4 linked regions of the Saccharomyces cerevisiae S288C genome follow. Changing the gene in region 2 together with the main gene of any one other region gives a genetic interaction. Each region holds a gene or a part of one and is shown on either strand. Other genes may lie near its edges.

What was found.
Region 1: mutations in PHM8 (region 2) and YPC1 together harm fitness more than expected from each alone (negative genetic interaction), as found in Saccharomyces cerevisiae (one large-scale study listed by BioGRID).
Region 3: mutations in PHM8 (region 2) and GYL1 together harm fitness more than expected from each alone (negative genetic interaction), as found in Saccharomyces cerevisiae (2 studies listed by BioGRID).
Region 4: mutations in PHM8 (region 2) and CCT6 together harm fitness more than expected from each alone (negative genetic interaction), as found in Saccharomyces cerevisiae (one large-scale study listed by BioGRID).

The regions. Positions count from the first base shown.
Region 1 is NC_001134.8:594,064-598,074, forward strand, and holds YPC1 (phytoceramidase), read left to right. Parts: upstream 1-2,051; coding exon 2,052-3,002; downstream 3,003-4,011. Other genes in the region: SMP1 (Smp1p), read right to left, coding at 1-801; YBR182C-A (uncharacterized protein), read right to left, coding at 1,298-1,492; YBR184W (uncharacterized protein), read left to right, coding at 3,300-4,011. UniProt on the Saccharomyces cerevisiae protein: Alkaline ceramidase that hydrolyzes phytoceramide and also dihydroceramide into phytosphingosine or dihydrosphingosine. Prefers phytoceramide.
Region 2 is NC_001137.3:223,501-227,354, forward strand, and holds PHM8 (bifunctional nucleotidase/lysophosphatidic acid phosphatase), read left to right. Parts: upstream 1-2,388; coding exon 2,389-3,354; downstream 3,355-3,854. Other genes in the region: ATP-binding cassette family ATPase ARB1, read right to left, coding at 1-1,699; Smc5-Smc6 complex subunit KRE29, read right to left, coding at 3,358-3,854. UniProt on the Saccharomyces cerevisiae protein: May be involved in phosphate metabolism.
Region 3 is NC_001145.3:645,494-650,585, forward strand, and holds GYL1 (Gyl1p), read left to right. Parts: upstream 1-1,624; coding exon 1,625-3,787; downstream 3,788-5,092. Other genes in the region: SPG5 (Spg5p), read left to right, coding at 163-1,284; mitochondrial 54S ribosomal protein bL28m MRPL24, read left to right, coding at 4,543-5,092. UniProt on the Saccharomyces cerevisiae protein: Probable GTPase-activating protein which stimulates the GTP hydrolysis rate by GYP5 of YPT1 and SEC4. Involved in ER to Golgi trafficking and polarized exocytosis.
Region 4 is NC_001136.10:834,063-838,856, forward strand, and holds CCT6 (chaperonin-containing T-complex subunit CCT6), read left to right. Parts: upstream 1-2,358; coding exon 2,359-3,999; downstream 4,000-4,794. Other genes in the region: SND1 (Snd1p), read right to left, coding at 1-1,430; SLY1 (syntaxin-binding protein), read left to right, coding at 4,330-4,794. UniProt on the Saccharomyces cerevisiae protein: Molecular chaperone; assists the folding of proteins upon ATP hydrolysis. Known to play a role, in vitro, in the folding of actin and tubulin. In yeast may play a role in mitotic spindle formation.

The sequences.
Region 1 (4,011 bases), on a different chromosome or scaffold from region 2:
AACCTGTACAAATTGCGATTGAAAGGATGGAATATTGCCCACTAAACTTGCAGGCAATGAAGGCTTTGGCAAATTCTCGTAAGGCGACGGGTAAAAATTATGATAATTAGAGTGGTTAGATTCAGAAAGTAGTAAATGAGTATCCGGCCTAATCCTCTTGTTCATAAAATTCCTATGAATAGCCTCGTTTGCAACATGCTGTTGGTCTACGCTTTCTTTATAATCATTAGCATGAAAACTCCCACCAGAATTTAAACCGCCTTGCAACATTTGATAATCTGCACTATTTCTTGCACAGTCAGAATGATTGGATCCGCTACGTGATATTGCTCCGTGGCAATGCACCAATGGTGTACTTACACCAGCGTTCCCGGCGTCATTTGACGCCAACGGAGCGCTTAAATTCCCATTGTTTTGTACACTGGAGGAATCTTGACTCGAAACTGTACAACTCCCAGAATGGGAAGCTGGTTGCAACACGGTTGCTCTTCTTCGCCTGCGCTTCCTTTCATTCAGAACAACACGTGGTTTTTTCACATAGTCACCATAATCAGATGGTTCTATGATATTATGAGGAAGATCAGTGTTGTTTTGATGAACATTAAGCAGGTTACTCATATCAACAGAAGAGTATTCGTAGAATGTATTATTGGATCCTAAAATAATGACAGCAATGTCTACTTGGCAAAGTACTGACAATTCATGAGCCTTTTTAAATAGTCCTGCTTTTCGCTTTATGAAAGTAACTGTACGATTTCTATCATCTTTGATAGGTTCAATTTCAATTTTTCTTCTACCCATTTAGCAGAAATTTTTTTGAAAATAATTGTGTTTGCTTATCTAGAGCTTTATTAAATTTTTTTCTGATGAGATAGGCCTGCTCGAAAAAATAGTCTGTCTTTGAATTTGGCTCGTATATTTCTCCCTTCGAATGAATGATAAAGAAAGACTCAAAGGAATGATGTAGTGTTATATAGATTGGCTAAAATAATTTGGCAAAAGAAAGATGGATAAGGATAGTTCATGTTTTTGAGTCCTTCACGAACATAGGAAGCCGGGTATGCGTGGAGATTTAAGTTTTGCCAAGCCTCCAATTACTCGAGCGAGATTATTTTTGCAGAAGAAACAAAGACGCCGCTTGTTACTAAAAAAAGAAGGCAACAATAATGCAAAAAGTTCGAACCAACTGTACCTCAAGCCGTTTTGTAAGCCACTATCATCGGGAACGGTACAGGTAGAATGATAGATGAAATTTACGTAAGCGTTAATGGAAAACAATAACGATGTGGTGTAAAAGCTAGTGCGTAGTGTGAGTGCCACTAGTTTTCTTTGACAGCTTAAGAGCAAGCTTTTGGAGCTCACAATCAAGTGAAACAAGAATTATGTTCATTTTCTCCTTCGGAACTGCAGAATAAAAATTCTTTATACTATAAACACCGCCATTATCAAAAAAGTATTGCTGAATCATGGTATACAGCGTGAAAATCTTCATGGCATTTCTACAAATTCTTTTTAGTTAGTATCGCCAACCATTAACCTTTTTAGTAATGCTGACGTTAAACGAAGGCGAAAAAAAATACTTGGCAACACCATCGTTTATATTTTTTTCAAATGGAAGTGTCGGCCGACGTAGCATAGCAGGAAAGATTCAAAGGCAAGGGTTTCACATAACGTTACCCTTCTGACCACGCCCCTTCTTTCGATCCCACTAGTGCGGACGGATTATCACGCAAGTTTTTTAACGCGAGACATCGGAAAATATTTATGCCGATTAGATCCGGCCCCTGAAACTTTTTGTTTGATACTTTCAAACGCACTACTCTACCCCATGACATAAAAAATATCTGTCTCCGGTTATATATGTCTAAATAGAATTCGGGTAGCATTTTATTTTTATCGCTTATAGGAAAAAGATATTTGCATATATATATCTATATATCCTATATACATCTATATAGTTATTGTGTAAGGGGTTTTTATAAGGTCCGATACTTACAGAGATTAATTTGTAAATAAAAGCAGAAATCTTTATTTAAGAAAATAGAAGATTGATGGGAATATTTCGTTGGAACTATCCAGAGAGTTCTGTCCCCGGCGTTTGGGGAGAAACAACTTCCACTATTGACTGGTGTGAGGAGAACTATGTCGTTTCTCCCTATATTGCCGAGTGGTCAAACACTTTAACTAACAGCGTATTCATACTGTCAGCGATTTACACAACTTACTCTGCTTACAAGAATAAATTAGAAAAAAGGTTTTTACTTATTGGCTTCGGGTACGGTTTGGTCGGAGTAGGATCATGGCTATTTCATATGACACTGAAGTATAGATTCCAACTATTGGATGAACTTCCAATGATATACGCCATGTGCATTCCGACATGGAGTTTAGTATGCGAGGCCAAAGAGGCATTACTTAACGGAGATAATCACAAGAAGGTTCCTCTATTTGAACAGATATTCATCGGCGTAATTATCGGCCTGGCCGTTACAACAGCAAGCATACTCTACGTTATTTACAAAAATGTCGATATCCATCAAATTTTGTTTGGCGTACAGATTGTAGTTGTGGCTGCTACTGCAGGAAGTTTGACGTACAGATACGTCCATGATCCACTTGCCAAAAGAAATCTCAAGGCTTCAATGGCGCTCGGCGCAATTTTGTTCTTATCTGGCTACATTTCGTGGCTACTTGATATACACTATTGTTCGTTCTGGGTGCACGTTAGAAGAAGTATTTTGGCTTTACCACTTGGTGTACTGCTTGAACCACACGGATGGTGGCATATATTAACTGGTATGGGGATTTATTTCTACATTGTTTCTTTGGAACATTTAAGGGTCATTACGCTCAACGTCAGCTGCAATTACCAGTTCATCTGGAGATGGAAAGTCTTCCCTGAACTGATATGGAAAGGGCGCAAACCCTCAACAAGATATTCACTTGAACTATTTGGCCCATACGTAGAAGATCAATCAATTGAAGTTAAAAAGGAGAAGTAATAATTATAGCATAATATATATTCATAATGTATAGGCATATTTATTTTTTATTTTTTTTATTTCATGTTCTATTTAATGACGAATCACGAAGAAAATATATCTAAGAAAAGATCTTTTGAATCCTTGATTTGCGAATAGTTTAAATGACCCAGCTTATTGCTCTGGTGAAAAAAAACTTTGTGCGGTCTCAAAGCCGTCGGCGGCAAAATAACGTGAATTGATGAAAGTAAATAAACAAAACAAAATCTCTAATTGTTGTAACACAAATACTAAGAAATTTGTTAGCTAATTCGGGACATGTACCAAAATAATGTATTGAATGCTATTTTGGCTTCTGAAAAATCAAACTTTCAATACGATAGTGGAACAATATTAAGAAACCACAAAAGACCAATAATAACATTTAATAACAACATAGAGCACACAGTATCCGAACCTAATAATTTTACAGGCTATGAGGAAAAGGAAGATTTGGATATAATGGATATTTGTCCTTATTACCCAAAAGCAAGAATGCTGGCGGATGCCATTCAACATGCCAAAACGAGCGCAAGTGAAAACAAAATGGAACTATCAATGAAAACTATCCCATGTCTCAAGAAGGAAAACGTCCATGTTGAGAAAGGGCACGATTGGTCTCAACTCAGTACGAGCAGAATTTGTAAAATTTTAGAAGACATAGCAGATAAAAAAAATAAAACTAGAAGGCAATCTGCCCCATTACAAAAGACGAAGTATTTCCCAACAAATGAGAATCAAAATACCGATATAGAAAATCAGAATTGGTCCCAAATCCCCAATGAAGACATATGTGCACTTATAGAGAAGATTGCTAGCAGACGCAATAAAAATCGCAAACGGAAAAATCTTTCATGTTCTAAAGTCCAAGAAATTCAGGGAAATATTGATTTACCCAAAAAAGACGTACAAGAGGGAGATATTTCAGATTCGTCTCTATTTGCAGCAGTAAGAGGAACCAAAAAAGTTTCCGGATATGATTACAATTCAG
Region 2 (3,854 bases):
CGACGACACCACCGTTAAATTCGTTGATGGCGTCGGCCAAGGAGTCGATGGTTGGGATATCCAAACCATTGGTAGGTTCATCTAATAGTAGGACATTTGGTTGTTCTAAAGCTAATAAAGCAAAGACGACACGAGAACGTTGACCTTCTGACAAGGTAGCCATTTGAACGGTTTGACCTTCCCCGGTTAGCCCGTAGCGACCTAGTTGGCCTCTCCAGAATTGGAAATCTTGTGAGATGTTAGAGTACTTGTCACGGACAAATTCTAAAGCAGATTTTGTCAAGTCCAGTTGATCTTGAGAGTGTTGCGAGTAGACACCCAACTTGACATGGGTATGTCTAGAAACACGGCCAGATTGTGGGGTCAATTCACCGGTCATAATCTTCAACAATGTGGATTTACCAACACCATTTGGTCCGACAAGGGCAATACGTGAGTCCATATCGACACCAAAGTTCAAATGTTCGTACAAGTTTTCGGATGGGTTGCTCTCATAATGAAATGAAATATCATCGAATGCTAAAACTGGTGGTGGCAATCTTTCCACTTGTGGGAATCTAAATGAGAAAACTTTGTCAGGGACGACAGGTTGGACTAAACCATCTGCTTCCATCTTGTCCAAAATTTTTTGTCTAGATTTAGCTTGTTTCACCAAGTTAGCATAAGTACCAGCAGATGCAATGAATTTTTTAATATGTTGGATTTCCTCTTGTTGTTTATTGTATTGTTTCATTTGATTGGTTTCCAATTCGGATCTTGTCTTGTGATAAGAATCATAGTTACCACCGTAAGCAGTTAGTTTTTGAGCTCTCATGTCAATCATATTGGTACAAACACCGTTCAAGAAATCTTGAGAGTGGGACACCAAAACTAAAGTTCTGTCAAATCTCTTCAAATATTCTTCTAACCAAACACAAGCTTCCAAATCCAGATGCGCAGTAGGATCATCCAACAATAATAGAGTTGGCTTAACGAAAAGAGCTTTTGCCAACGCAACACGCATTTTCCATCCACCAGACATATCTTTGGTTTTCTTCAAAATGGTCTTCTTGTTGAAACCTAGACCGATCAAAATGATAGCAGCTCTAGATTCAAAGGTGTCTGGATCCAAAGAGTCCATTCTTTCATATAGAGGCTCTAATAACTCGGACTCAGGACCATCTTCCAAGATAGTCTTTTCGACTAAGTCTTCTATTCTTTTCAATTCGTGTTGAGCTTCAGTGACAACGTAGTCCAAGGCCGACAATTCACTTGGTTCCGCAGGTTCGTCCAATAAATAAATATCAATATGCTCAGGAATAGGATATTCTCTAGTAGCAAGAGCCTTTAAGAATGTTGACTTACCACAACCATTTTCTCCCAGAAGACCATATCTACGGCCGTAGTTTAATTCTAAACCAGAATCTTGGATCAAAACTTTACCGTGGAACAGTAAAGAAACAGAAGATAGCTTGATATCACGGGAAGTCTCCAATGAACTCAAAACACCAGTGACAACACGATCTGAAAGACCATCCTTATCTTGTTGCAACTTCATCATCTTGATTTCTCTAGCGGCTGCATCTACCTCCGATTCTTCAGCAGCAGCCTCCTTTTTTCTACCTAGCTTTCTGATGGTTTTACCGGCAGCGGCTTTCTTAGCCTCTCTTTCAGCTTTCTTAGCATCTCTCTTGGCCTTTGACGCAGATACTGGTGGCATATTTGGTTCTGTCAAGTTACTGTTTGTAGCACTGAGGGGAAGAAAACAATTTTTGCAAGAAAAAAGTTAAGAAAGAAGAAGAAAAACTACACGGGCACTAACATGTTAAATATGATAATATTTTTTTTTATAAGAGAATCACTACCAAGTTACCTGAACTACGTCAAGGAAAAGCCATTAATTGAGATGAGGTGAACGAAGAAAAAAAAAAAGAAAAAAATTTTTATTTTTTTTTCCATCGGTCTCCCCCCTCACCTTTCTTTTTTCATTCGTTTAAAGTGAGATTAGGGTAATGCATTTCGTATTTAGTGAGTAAACGTCAAAGGTGATATAGGGGGTTTTTCTTTTTCCAGAAAAAGAAAGAAAAAAGCCGGCGGTCGCCGCCGGAGATGGTTGAGAAAAAAAGGGGGCAGCAACGTGCTTCACATACAAACCAAGTTCTTGGATCTGTACGATCGTTTCTGCGGGTTTTTCCGTATTTGCCGCAATACTGAAATGGCTCATTATTAGGAGATGTGCATATAATGTATATACATACATTTAGCATATGTAATACATTCGTACATGTATAGAAATATATGTTTATATATATATATATATATATATGTATATACGAACTCGGTTTAACGCATAGTTGGTAAAAGATTTAATGTAGATAAAAAACACATAAGTTTTATACGCACGTAATCATGACTATCGCTAAAGATTACAGAACAATTTATAGAAACCAAATCAAAAAGCAGATACGACTAAATCAGGAGCATTTGCAAAGCTTGACACATCTAGGCTCACAAATCAATTTCGAGGTGGATCCTCCCAAATTACCGGATCCGGATCCTGCTCGAAAAGTATTTTTCTTTGATATCGATAACACTTTGTACAGAAAATCTACGAAGGTACAATTGCTCATGCAACAATCATTATCAAATTTCTTTAAATACGAATTGGGGTTTGACGACGATGAGGCAGAACGCCTAATCGAATCGTATTATCAAGAATATGGATTATCCGTGAAAGGTTTAATAAAGAATAAACAAATTGATGACGTCCTACAATATAATACATTCATCGATGATTCCTTACCTTTGCAAGACTATTTAAAGCCTGATTGGAAGTTAAGGGAGCTGCTGATCAATTTAAAGAAAAAGAAGCTCGGCAAATTTGACAAACTATGGCTGTTTACAAACTCGTACAAAAATCATGCCATCAGATGTGTTAAAATATTAGGTATTGCTGATCTATTTGACGGCATAACCTATTGCCACTACGACAGACCCATCGAGGAAGAATTCATTTGCAAGCCAGATCCAAAATTCTTCGAAACAGCTAAATTGCAAAGTGGGTTGTCGAGCTTTGCAAATGCCTGGTTTATTGATGACAACGAAAGCAATGTGCGGAGCGCGTTGAGCATGGGGATGGGCCATGTTATCCATTTGATAGAGGATTACCAATATGAGTCAGAAAATATTGTTACTAAGGACCACAAAAATAAGCAACAATTTTCCATATTGAAAGATATCCTTGAGATTCCATTGATAATGGACGTTGAAGTTTACCGTCCATCCTCTATTGCCATAAAGGAAATGGAAGAGTTGGAAGAGGAAGGGGAAGCAGTCAACTGGTCAAATCAACAGATCAATGTTCAGTCATCATGACTGTTACCTGATTTTAGAAAACAAATTTAATATTCCCTTCAGGATAGAAATTTCAACATCATTTGTCGTTTCATTAGAAATATCCAAAATACAATCTTTGAAATATTCTGTTACTTGACATTTGGGACCAAAAGGAATAAATTTCGAGCCATACATCGTTAAAATAAAATATAGTAGATTTTTATAGTTTTTACAATCAAAAAATTCGTTAAACTCTTTGATTATATTTTGCTGTATAGTTTCAGTCCGACCTTGCTTTTCACTAAAGCGTCTCCTGAGCAAGGCGCTTTGTAAATGAGGGAAGATTTGTAGTAGCCTATAATGTAAAAAAAAGTCGTTCTTGTCCACAATTTCGAAATATGAATTTATGAAATGTGCCTCATTAAATAATTCCAGGACCTTAAAACACAGTCTATGGTCCGATTCCATAGCGTTAAAAACCTTTCTATCCAAGATTAAACATATGAAGGCTTTCAGAAAGAATTCTCTAACATCATCAT
Region 3 (5,092 bases), on a different chromosome or scaffold from region 2:
ATAAACAAATCCTGGCAGCCGAAGCCGGGCAATCCACTTCGAAACGCACGGCTGAACTATATAAATATAAAGGACATGTGGAGAGAAGCTTCTCTTCCTTCACATTTCGCATTTCATGATCTAAAGTGGTTCTTTCACAATAGAAGAGCACCAACACGAAATATGGCTGTCGGTGGTAATAACTGGAGCATGTGGCTGCGAATGTCACGGGTCCACCTCAGGCAGATCACGAAGTCTCTGGACCGAACGCTGATCAGTTTGAGCCATGGGAATTTTTCCCACCAATATAATCGCAATATTTTTGTCACTTGGTGGAAGAGCCTATTTGAGGCTTCTACAGCTTTTAGGAGGGCAAGTGGTTTAACGGTATCTCCTCTCACGAGGAGAGGAATCGCAAGGTTTGACCATTTCAGACCTGTTCCCAATGTCAGTAAATTTGCTTCTTTTCCCAGAGTGCCCAAAGGAGCCCCAAGGGGCCTTTTTACCAACTGGAATATGACTACATCAAAGAGATTATTAGGGCAGAGAGCTTATTCGACTTCCAGTATCAAATTTACCCAAGAAGCCGTGAATAACATGACTATATCTTTGAGGTGTTTTTTCAACTCACTAGGCGGATTAAATCAGTGCTCCCACTCTAATTCCTGCAAAGCTTATCAGAATGCGTCTAATGTTACCTCTAAACAGGATCACGTCCAACCAGTTGCCCTTAAGAAGTTATCTCAAAAGGATATCAATTTCATTCGTAATTTAGAACTATTTAAGATAATGAAGACCCAGAATGAAGTCGTTGATGAAACAAGCGCATATTACATGGAAAAACCAGGTTCCTATATTGAATTTACCATTTCAGAATTTAACGTTAATGGGACATTCTCCGCACCTTTGTCATTTTTAGATCCTTCTTTGTTAGCGGATTTGGATGAAATGATTAGAAATTACAAATACGAATTAAAATCAATATACAGTAGTGTTGACATGATCTTGCAGAATTATGGATCATTGCCGATAACTTTTCATCGAAATAAGATTCGAATACATTTTCCAAACTCAACTGTGGTGGAAACAGAAAAACTAATTGCAGGTCTGAATATTGCTACGGGTGTTATTTACGCAGATACGTCTCCCGATATCAGTCTAGAAGGTACAAATTTGAATGCTCTGGTTAATGTTGACAATTCAGGAAGCGTATGGTCTTTTGTTAAGGAGCCCTCGTTTCCCTCTAGGAGCGCTTTTTCACCTATTTTATCAGATGCATCCTATGATACTTATGAATTGGTCTAGCAAAGACGTTGTTTCATCGCGCTATTACCAAGAAGGTTACTTTACTTGTTCTTGCACATGGACGCACGTTGTGTGTTCATATATATATATATATATATATATATATATTTGTGCTTGTTTTCATTGTCTCTATAGTTAATACATTCTATTTTTATCGTTATATTTGCATTCTCTTCGCATAAAAACTTCATGAAAATTCGGCAGAAAATAAGCCATATATGTACTTTATCCATAGGCAAAGAAAAGCACTTAACGAGAATATACAACAATTGCACTAGTACTGCATGTATATACTCTTATGATTATAGCGGCAAGAAAACAAATATAAACACACTAACAGATGAATTCGAATGAAGATATACATGAAGAACGCATTGAAGTTCCACGAACTCCCCATCAAACCCAGCCAGAGAAAGACTCTGATCGCATCGCTCTCAGGGATGAAATATCAGTACCAGAAGGCGATGAAAAAGCATATTCGGATGAGAAAGTAGAAATGGCAACCACAAATGCATCCAGTAACTTTGGCTCAAATGAAAGTGCAAAAGACGGCGAATCAATCGGCGCCTTTTCAAATCCCCATGAGGCTCTGATGCAGTCAAAATTGAGAGAAGAATCCCAGAGTAAAACCATACTACCATCCGATGACCTCAGCCAGCAATTAGAAACCGAAGAATCCAAAGTTGAAGAGGCTCTAAAAAGAATAACCTCACCCCCATTACCACCGAGGGCTGACTGCATAGAAGAATCTGCATCTGCTCTTAAATCCTCATTGCCTCCAGTGCTAGCAGGAAATAAAAATGATCAAGCCCCCCTTGACCGACCACAGTTACCTCCGAGGCAGGTAGTTAATGCGGAAACTCTTCATTTGAAGGCGCCCCATGGTAATGCGACTCCCTCCAAATCACCAACGAGTGCTGTAGGTAATTCTTCTTCATCGACCCCTCCAACCTTACCACCACGCCGTATAGAAGATCCTTTAGACTTGGCTGCTCAAAAACATTTCCTAGCGAGTACATTTAAGAGAAATATGCTCTTTTATAAAAGTGAAGATAACTCTATCAAATGTGATTTGGATAAAAATATACTAAATTTAAAAGAAGATTCAAAAAAAATTAACAACAATGAAATTCCTGAAGAGGTTAGTTCATTTTGGTTAAAGGTTATCGGCGACTATCAAAATATCTTAATAAACGATATCGAAACCTTACATTTCCAACTATCTCGAGGTATACCAGCCGCTTATCGATTGGTAGTCTGGCAGTTAGTAAGTTATGCAAAATCGAAATCCTTTGACCCTATATATGAAACGTATCTAACGGAAATGGCACCTTTTGACGTCCAGGAATTTGAAAATCAGCTAAAAATGATGGACGAAGTTCCCTCTGAATACGTAAAACGCATAAGTAATGTGTTAAAGGCTTATTTACTTTTTGACCCAGAGTGTGAGTTTTCTACCGACATTGCTTATATTATCAATATGATTCTTGACGTTTGCGAGGAGGAGGCAAATGCATTTGGTCTACTTGTACGCCTAATGAAAGTTTACGGTTTAAGACTCTTGTTCTTACCAAGTGCTTCTGAGATCGATATTCTTTGCTATAAATTTGATAGACTTGTAGAAGAATTTTATCCTGAAATTCACAACCACATGGTTGAAAAAGGCGTCCGTTCTTCCATGTTTTTGCCCGGTTTCTTCACGACACTGTTTCAAAAGAAACTTCCCACTGAAATTCAACCACGTATCGGTGATATGGTATTTTTAGAAGGTATTGACTCTATTATGAGAATTTTAGCCACACTTTTATCTAATTCCCGAGACCATCTGTTAAAAATGGGTTTTGATGATATGCTGGAGCTATTGAAATCAGGTCTGTTAGATGCTTATATTAAGCAGAATGATGGTACACGCGGTGACACTCTTCTCTCAAATGAATGTATGGATAAATTACTACAAGACTCTATGATGAAAGTAGCAATAACCCCAAAGACTATGAAGAAATATTCTTCTGAATATGAGGAAATTCACAGATTGGACAATGAAAAAGAAGTGCAATATAAGTCTATCACGGAAAAAAATTTACATTTACAAAAGCATGTTCGTAAATTAGAAAACGACTACACATCTTTAAATAGAGAGCATGTGACAATTGCGAACGAGTTAGTGAAAAATCGGCTTAATATCGAGTCTGTATTAAATGAAAATAATGGTTACAAACTTCAAATTTTAGATTTGAAGAAAAAGTTGGATTCAGAAAAAAAGAAGCAAGTTTTAGGTGTATATGTGCCCAATGATTTAAAGAAAGATTTGGAAGAGACAATGAAAAAGAATACCCAAGTAATGGACGAAAATTTGAAATTGCAGGATAGGATTTCAGAACTAGAAAGGCTTATTGAAGAAATAAAAACTGCAAACAAAAATGGTACGTTATTCGAATATTCTAATTCTAAAAATAATCCTTTGGGAGCCGGCTGGTCAGGATTTAAAAAGGTTTTTAAATAGTTAAACTGTGTATATCAGCTACTGCTCCCCTTGAATGATACATGACTAAATATAATGATAAATTTATTTCTTGATTTTTGATTATTTCATATTTTGTTGACATTTGAGAGCTTCAATTGTATAAAGTTGCAAGATAATATATGAGGTTAGGGAAGCCGGATAAAGAAAATAGAGTACTTTAAAACTGTTCATGGACTAAGAATTCAGTGACGATGAAGTAGTAAAGGAGAGTGTTTAGGATATAAATAAGACCGAGAAATTGTTAGTAAGCATTACTTCTAGCAGAAATAATGAACCACAATCGTGACAATATATACTCGAGTTAGCAGTTAACAGTAACCCTTTCCATACCATTCTAAACTTTGCAACAGTAAATATCTTGGCGTTTAACGTTTTATTTTATTCTACGTTTCTCAAATATCGGCTGTACTCATGTGGCACATCATGAAAAGAGCCTTCATATCAAGAATTCAAGAATTTTAATTACATCGTGACAACGGTTTCCTAAACTTTTAGTAAAAACAATTAAATGTGCAATTTTGTTGATTATACTGTGGACAAATTGAGCTTAGTACGTTTCCTTCTTCTCTTTCTGCAATTATATTTAATTAAATAATCTCGTATTCTCGCATCCGGGCACGCTTTGTGAAATTCATTTGAGAAACCAAAAACAGCTGATCAGCTAGAGCTATTAGAAGTTAGTGCCCAGGGGTATAGAAAAATCAGTTTAAGGAAGAAAAAGCTCACAGAAGAATATGCAAAAAATTTTCAGACCATTCCAATTAACGAGAGGCTTTACCTCTTCCGTAAAAAACTTCAGGCAATGGAGACTGATTGAAACAAGGAAGATTGCCAAACAACCGAACTACCAAGTTGGTGATGCTAAACCTTTACATATGCCAAAAGAAAGAAAGAAATTTCCAGATTACAAGTATGGGGAATCTAATATCTTCAAACAGAGTAACAAAGGTCTATATGGTGGATCTTTCGTTCAGTTTGGTAACAATATTTCTGAAAGTAAAGCCAAAACGAGGAAGAAGTGGTTGCCAAATGTTGTCAAAAAAGGTCTCTGGAGTGAGACTCTGAACAGAAAAATCAGTATCAAAATGACCGCTAAAGTTTTAAAAACAATCAGTAAAGAAGGAGGGATTGACAACTATTTAACAAAGGAAAAATCTGCAAGAATAAAAGAATTAGGGCCGACCGGATGGAAGCTTCGTTATAGGGTTTTAAAAAGAAAAGATGAAATAGAGAATCCCCCACATAAGGATGCACCTATCATAGAAATGGCTGGTGGTAAAAAGG
Region 4 (4,794 bases), on a different chromosome or scaffold from region 2:
TTTCCACCTTCTTCATCATCGTAATTAAAGCCATATTCATCTGCGTATGAGGTTCTATCCTGCTCTTGTTCCCCTCGTTCTTTTGTATAATCGTCATAATTATTATTGTTGTACAGGACAATTTCCTCATTCTTAGCACGGTCTTGCACTTCGTTGATTTGGTTGTTTAACTCGTCATATACTAGTTCGTCGTTTGATGGTGTCTTTCCGTAGGGGAAGGGAGAAGGCGATCTGGACATATTAGAACTAGAATAGGATTGTGAACGGGAATGTGGATGCAGATGCGATTGTAAATGCAGTGCAGTTCCCGAAGGCTGCTTGCGTAGGTTGGATTCCTGACCAATAAGATTGTTGATTGACGTTGATGGGATAGTTGTGATGGATTCGTTCGTTTTGAACATATGTGCCCTGTTGGATTTTCTGTTGATAGACAACGACCTAATTCTGACGGACTTGTCTTTATTGGAGGTTAAAACCGAGTTTTGAAAATTCAACAACGACGAAGAGTTTCTTTTCAAACTTGTGTTGCTCTGGTCGTCGCCCTTATCTTCGTTAACAGCATCTGAATATTCATGTAGCGCTTTTATTGATTCCTGGGAGATAAGGCTGGTGAGAGGGTGGTCTGACAACAAAGTCAGCAGTGCTTTTACCCCCGTGCTATTCGTGACAATAACTATGGAATCCAAGACAGTCTGGTCTTGCATGCTACCATTGCTCTGGTTTGAGCCGGTGAATTTCTCGTTCAACTTGGTGTAGTACTCTTTGAACGGGAGTGACTTGGAGTTCTGGATTGTCTTAGTGAAAGAACCAATATTCTGCCAATTAATGATTTTTAAATTAAGCAGTTCTGCGTTCAGGAAAGTAGAAAACCACTTGAGAGAGGTGGGAGAAACGTTGATCTGGAAACATAGGTTTAGTTTCTTTTGAACATACAAGTCTTTGAAAGAATTAAACAATTTTTCAACCAAAAATCTTATGGTCTCCACGTAACGTAAAGACCCCGAAGACGACACCAGTACATTCAGATCAAACTTGTTTTCCGGTGTGCTGCGAGAGCTGATCAGACTTTTCAACTCCTCCCAAAACTTATCGTTATCTTCCGCAGTAGATGTGTTGGAAAAACTTTGCGCGATCGAATTTCTAAGCCGATGCAGCTTAAACCGTTTATTCAGTCTGGAAAGCTTGTTATGAGTCATCTCATCGTTGTAGTAGTCGATCGTAGGGATATCTATGTAAAGTAGGATGTTAAGCTTCTTTAGCGAAGGGTACCGGTCCGCCAAAGACGCTTGTACCACTGTCTGCTGCATGTTGGAGTAAGTGATCAGAAACAGCGAGTCCTGTGACTTCACACTAACTTTTGGTGAAGTGGACTGGGCAAAGCGACGCTCATTAATGCTCGCGGCTGCTGCGTCCGTACCGACAGTGTCCATCGTAGTGTAGGCTTCCCAAAATTTAGGATGTGATTAGTAATAGTGGTTGATTGCGAGCTCCGGGATGCGAGGGAGAGCGTGTATGTGTACTTCAAGTTCGCCAACTTCTCTCTTAAATAGAAAAAGAAAAGAAGAAAAAGGAAACGAAAAAAAAAAAAAGTAGGGAAAAGCTGAGTGATGAAGATCCGGGCTGCCAAGATTGGGTTTGAAACGTGTAGTCAGCTACAAACCAAAAATTAAAAGAACAATAGCAAAGAACCTTAGTAGGAAAACAATAAAATAATAGACACGACACCCGTAGAAAGATAGAACGGGACGAGGGGCCGGTTCAACAACTATCATACTTTCTTGTTCAACAACGCGATTAACCCAAATAATAAAAAAGCTACGAGACAAGAACAGACGAGGCAATACGAGCAACGAGCGCAACGAGAACGGTAAGCATGGCAACGGCGCGCACACCCACGCCCCGCAACCGCACACCTCAGCTCAAAGTAACCCACTTTAACGTGACTGGACCTGAGCTGTCTGACTCGGTCGTTTGCAAATAGGTTAACGCCGTCGCTTCTCCCTTTCGTGTACCGTATATCTTTCTTTAATTGCATTCCCTTGTTGTGATTATCGTTTCCCATTGCAGTGAGCTTTCATTTTGGGGACCCTGGGAGTAGGCTGTTTTTCGATAGAGTGAGAGGTGTGGGTTCTGCGGCAGAATGGATACGGGCCGTGGATCACTGTTTACGGGAGTTTTGCTTTGGTGGCAAAATTTTCGCTCGGTGATGTGTTAGTAGTTGTTATTCTGGTAAGAAACGAACGAAAGACGGAAAGGATTATGTATAACAGTGTATGTGTGCAGTGTGTGGAAAAGGTAAAGGTTAAGGGTGTGGAAGCAGTGAGAAGCAGAAGATTATAATATAAGTAGAGTAGAAGCATGTCATTGCAATTGTTGAATCCGAAGGCTGAATCGTTGAGAAGGGATGCGGCTTTGAAGGTTAACGTCACATCTGCTGAGGGCTTACAATCCGTCCTAGAGACCAACTTGGGCCCTAAGGGCACGCTAAAGATGCTTGTGGATGGTGCTGGTAACATCAAGCTGACCAAGGACGGTAAAGTGTTGCTGACCGAGATGCAGATCCAGTCGCCTACAGCGGTACTGATTGCTAGGGCAGCTGCCGCGCAGGATGAAATCACGGGCGATGGGACCACGACGGTTGTGTGTCTTGTGGGTGAATTGCTTAGACAAGCGCACCGTTTCATTCAAGAGGGCGTGCATCCGCGGATCATCACTGATGGGTTTGAGATTGCGCGGAAGGAGTCCATGAAATTTTTGGACGAATTCAAGATCAGTAAGACGAACCTTTCCAATGATAGAGAGTTCCTTCTGCAAGTGGCCCGGTCGTCGCTGCTAACCAAGGTGGACGCTGACTTGACGGAGGTCTTGACGCCCATTGTAACGGATGCGGTGCTAAGCGTGTACGACGCGCAGGCTGACAATTTGGATTTACACATGGTTGAGATCATGCAGATGCAGCACTTGTCTCCTAAAGATACCACTTTTATTAAGGGTTTGGTATTGGACCACGGTGGTAGGCATCCTGACATGCCCACCCGTGTGAAGAACGCGTATGTTTTGATTTTGAACGTATCTTTGGAATACGAGAAGACTGAAGTTAACTCTGGGTTCTTTTACAGTTCTGCGGACCAAAGGGACAAGTTGGCCGCTAGTGAGAGGAAGTTTGTGGATGCCAAGTTGAAGAAGATCATCGACTTGAAAAACGAAGTTTGTGGCATGGATCCAGACAAGGGTTTTGTTATCATTAACCAAAAAGGCATTGACCCCATGTCTTTAGACGTGTTTGCCAAACACAACATCTTGGCTTTGAGAAGGGCCAAGAGACGTAACATGGAAAGATTGCAATTGGTCACTGGCGGTGAAGCTCAGAACTCTGTGGAAGACTTGTCGCCTCAGATTCTTGGGTTTTCTGGCTTGGTCTACCAAGAAACCATAGGCGAGGAAAAATTCACATACGTTACAGAGAACACTGACCCCAAGTCTTGCACCATCTTAATCAAGGGCTCCACTCATTATGCCCTCGCTCAAACAAAGGATGCGGTGAGAGATGGTCTCAGAGCTGTGGCAAACGTTCTCAAGGACAAAAACATCATTCCAGGCGCTGGTGCGTTCTACATCGCCCTTTCGAGATACCTAAGATCTGCCAACATGAACAAGTTGGGTGCCAAGGGTAAAACAAAGACAGGTATTGAGGCGTTCGCAGAAGCATTGCTGGTAATTCCAAAGACTTTGGTGAAGAACTCAGGATTCGACCCATTGGACGTGCTCGCAATGGTGGAGGACGAGTTGGATGACGCTCAGGATTCTGACGAAACGAGATATGTTGGTGTGGACTTGAACATAGGTGATTCTTGCGACCCTACCATCGAGGGTATTTGGGATTCCTACCGCGTACTAAGAAATGCTATTACCGGTGCTACAGGTATTGCCAGCAACTTGTTATTATGCGATGAATTGTTAAGGGCAGGTAGATCCACTTTGAAAGAAACACCACAGTAATAAAAAATAATAATAATAATAATAATAACAAGAACACGAATACTAGTAGTAATAGTAGTCAGATACAAAAATTCTATGTAACATATTTTTTCCAGTCACTATCATCATCATCATATTTTGTATATATACATTTATTATATAAAATATCATACCAATTTTTGCCAAAGAACACCGTTTCCCTCTTCGCGTTGACCACAGTAATTGCAGAAACGACAAAAAAAAAACAAAAAAAAGAAGCACCATTCTAACTCAGCCTTTAATAACCTGACATGATAACTTATAATAGTCATTGCCAGTTGCTAAGTATCTTTGACCAAAAATCACAACATCATGGCTGTGGAGGAAATTGCGTCCCGCAAGGACATTAGTTTAAGAGATATGCAAATCTCTGCCATATTAAAAATGCTGTTTTTAAATAAGGATTTGAACAACAACGACAACATCACCACCATCACAGACGATATTTTTAACCAGCAGGAGATCATCTGGAAGGTGTTGATACTGGACATCAAGAGCACTGCTACCATATCTTCTGTTCTCAGAGTCAATGACCTGCTGAAAGCTGGTATCACCGTTCATTCCTTGATTAAACAAGACAGATCTCCCTTGCCAGATGTCCCTGCCATATATTTCGTCTCCCCCACAAAGGAAAACATTGACATTATAGTCAATGACTTGAAAAGCGACAAGTATTCTGAATTTTACATCAACTTTACCTCATCTCTGCCCAGAAACCTCCTGGAAGATTTGGCTCAACAAGTCTCCATCACGGGTAAATCTGATAAAATCAAACAA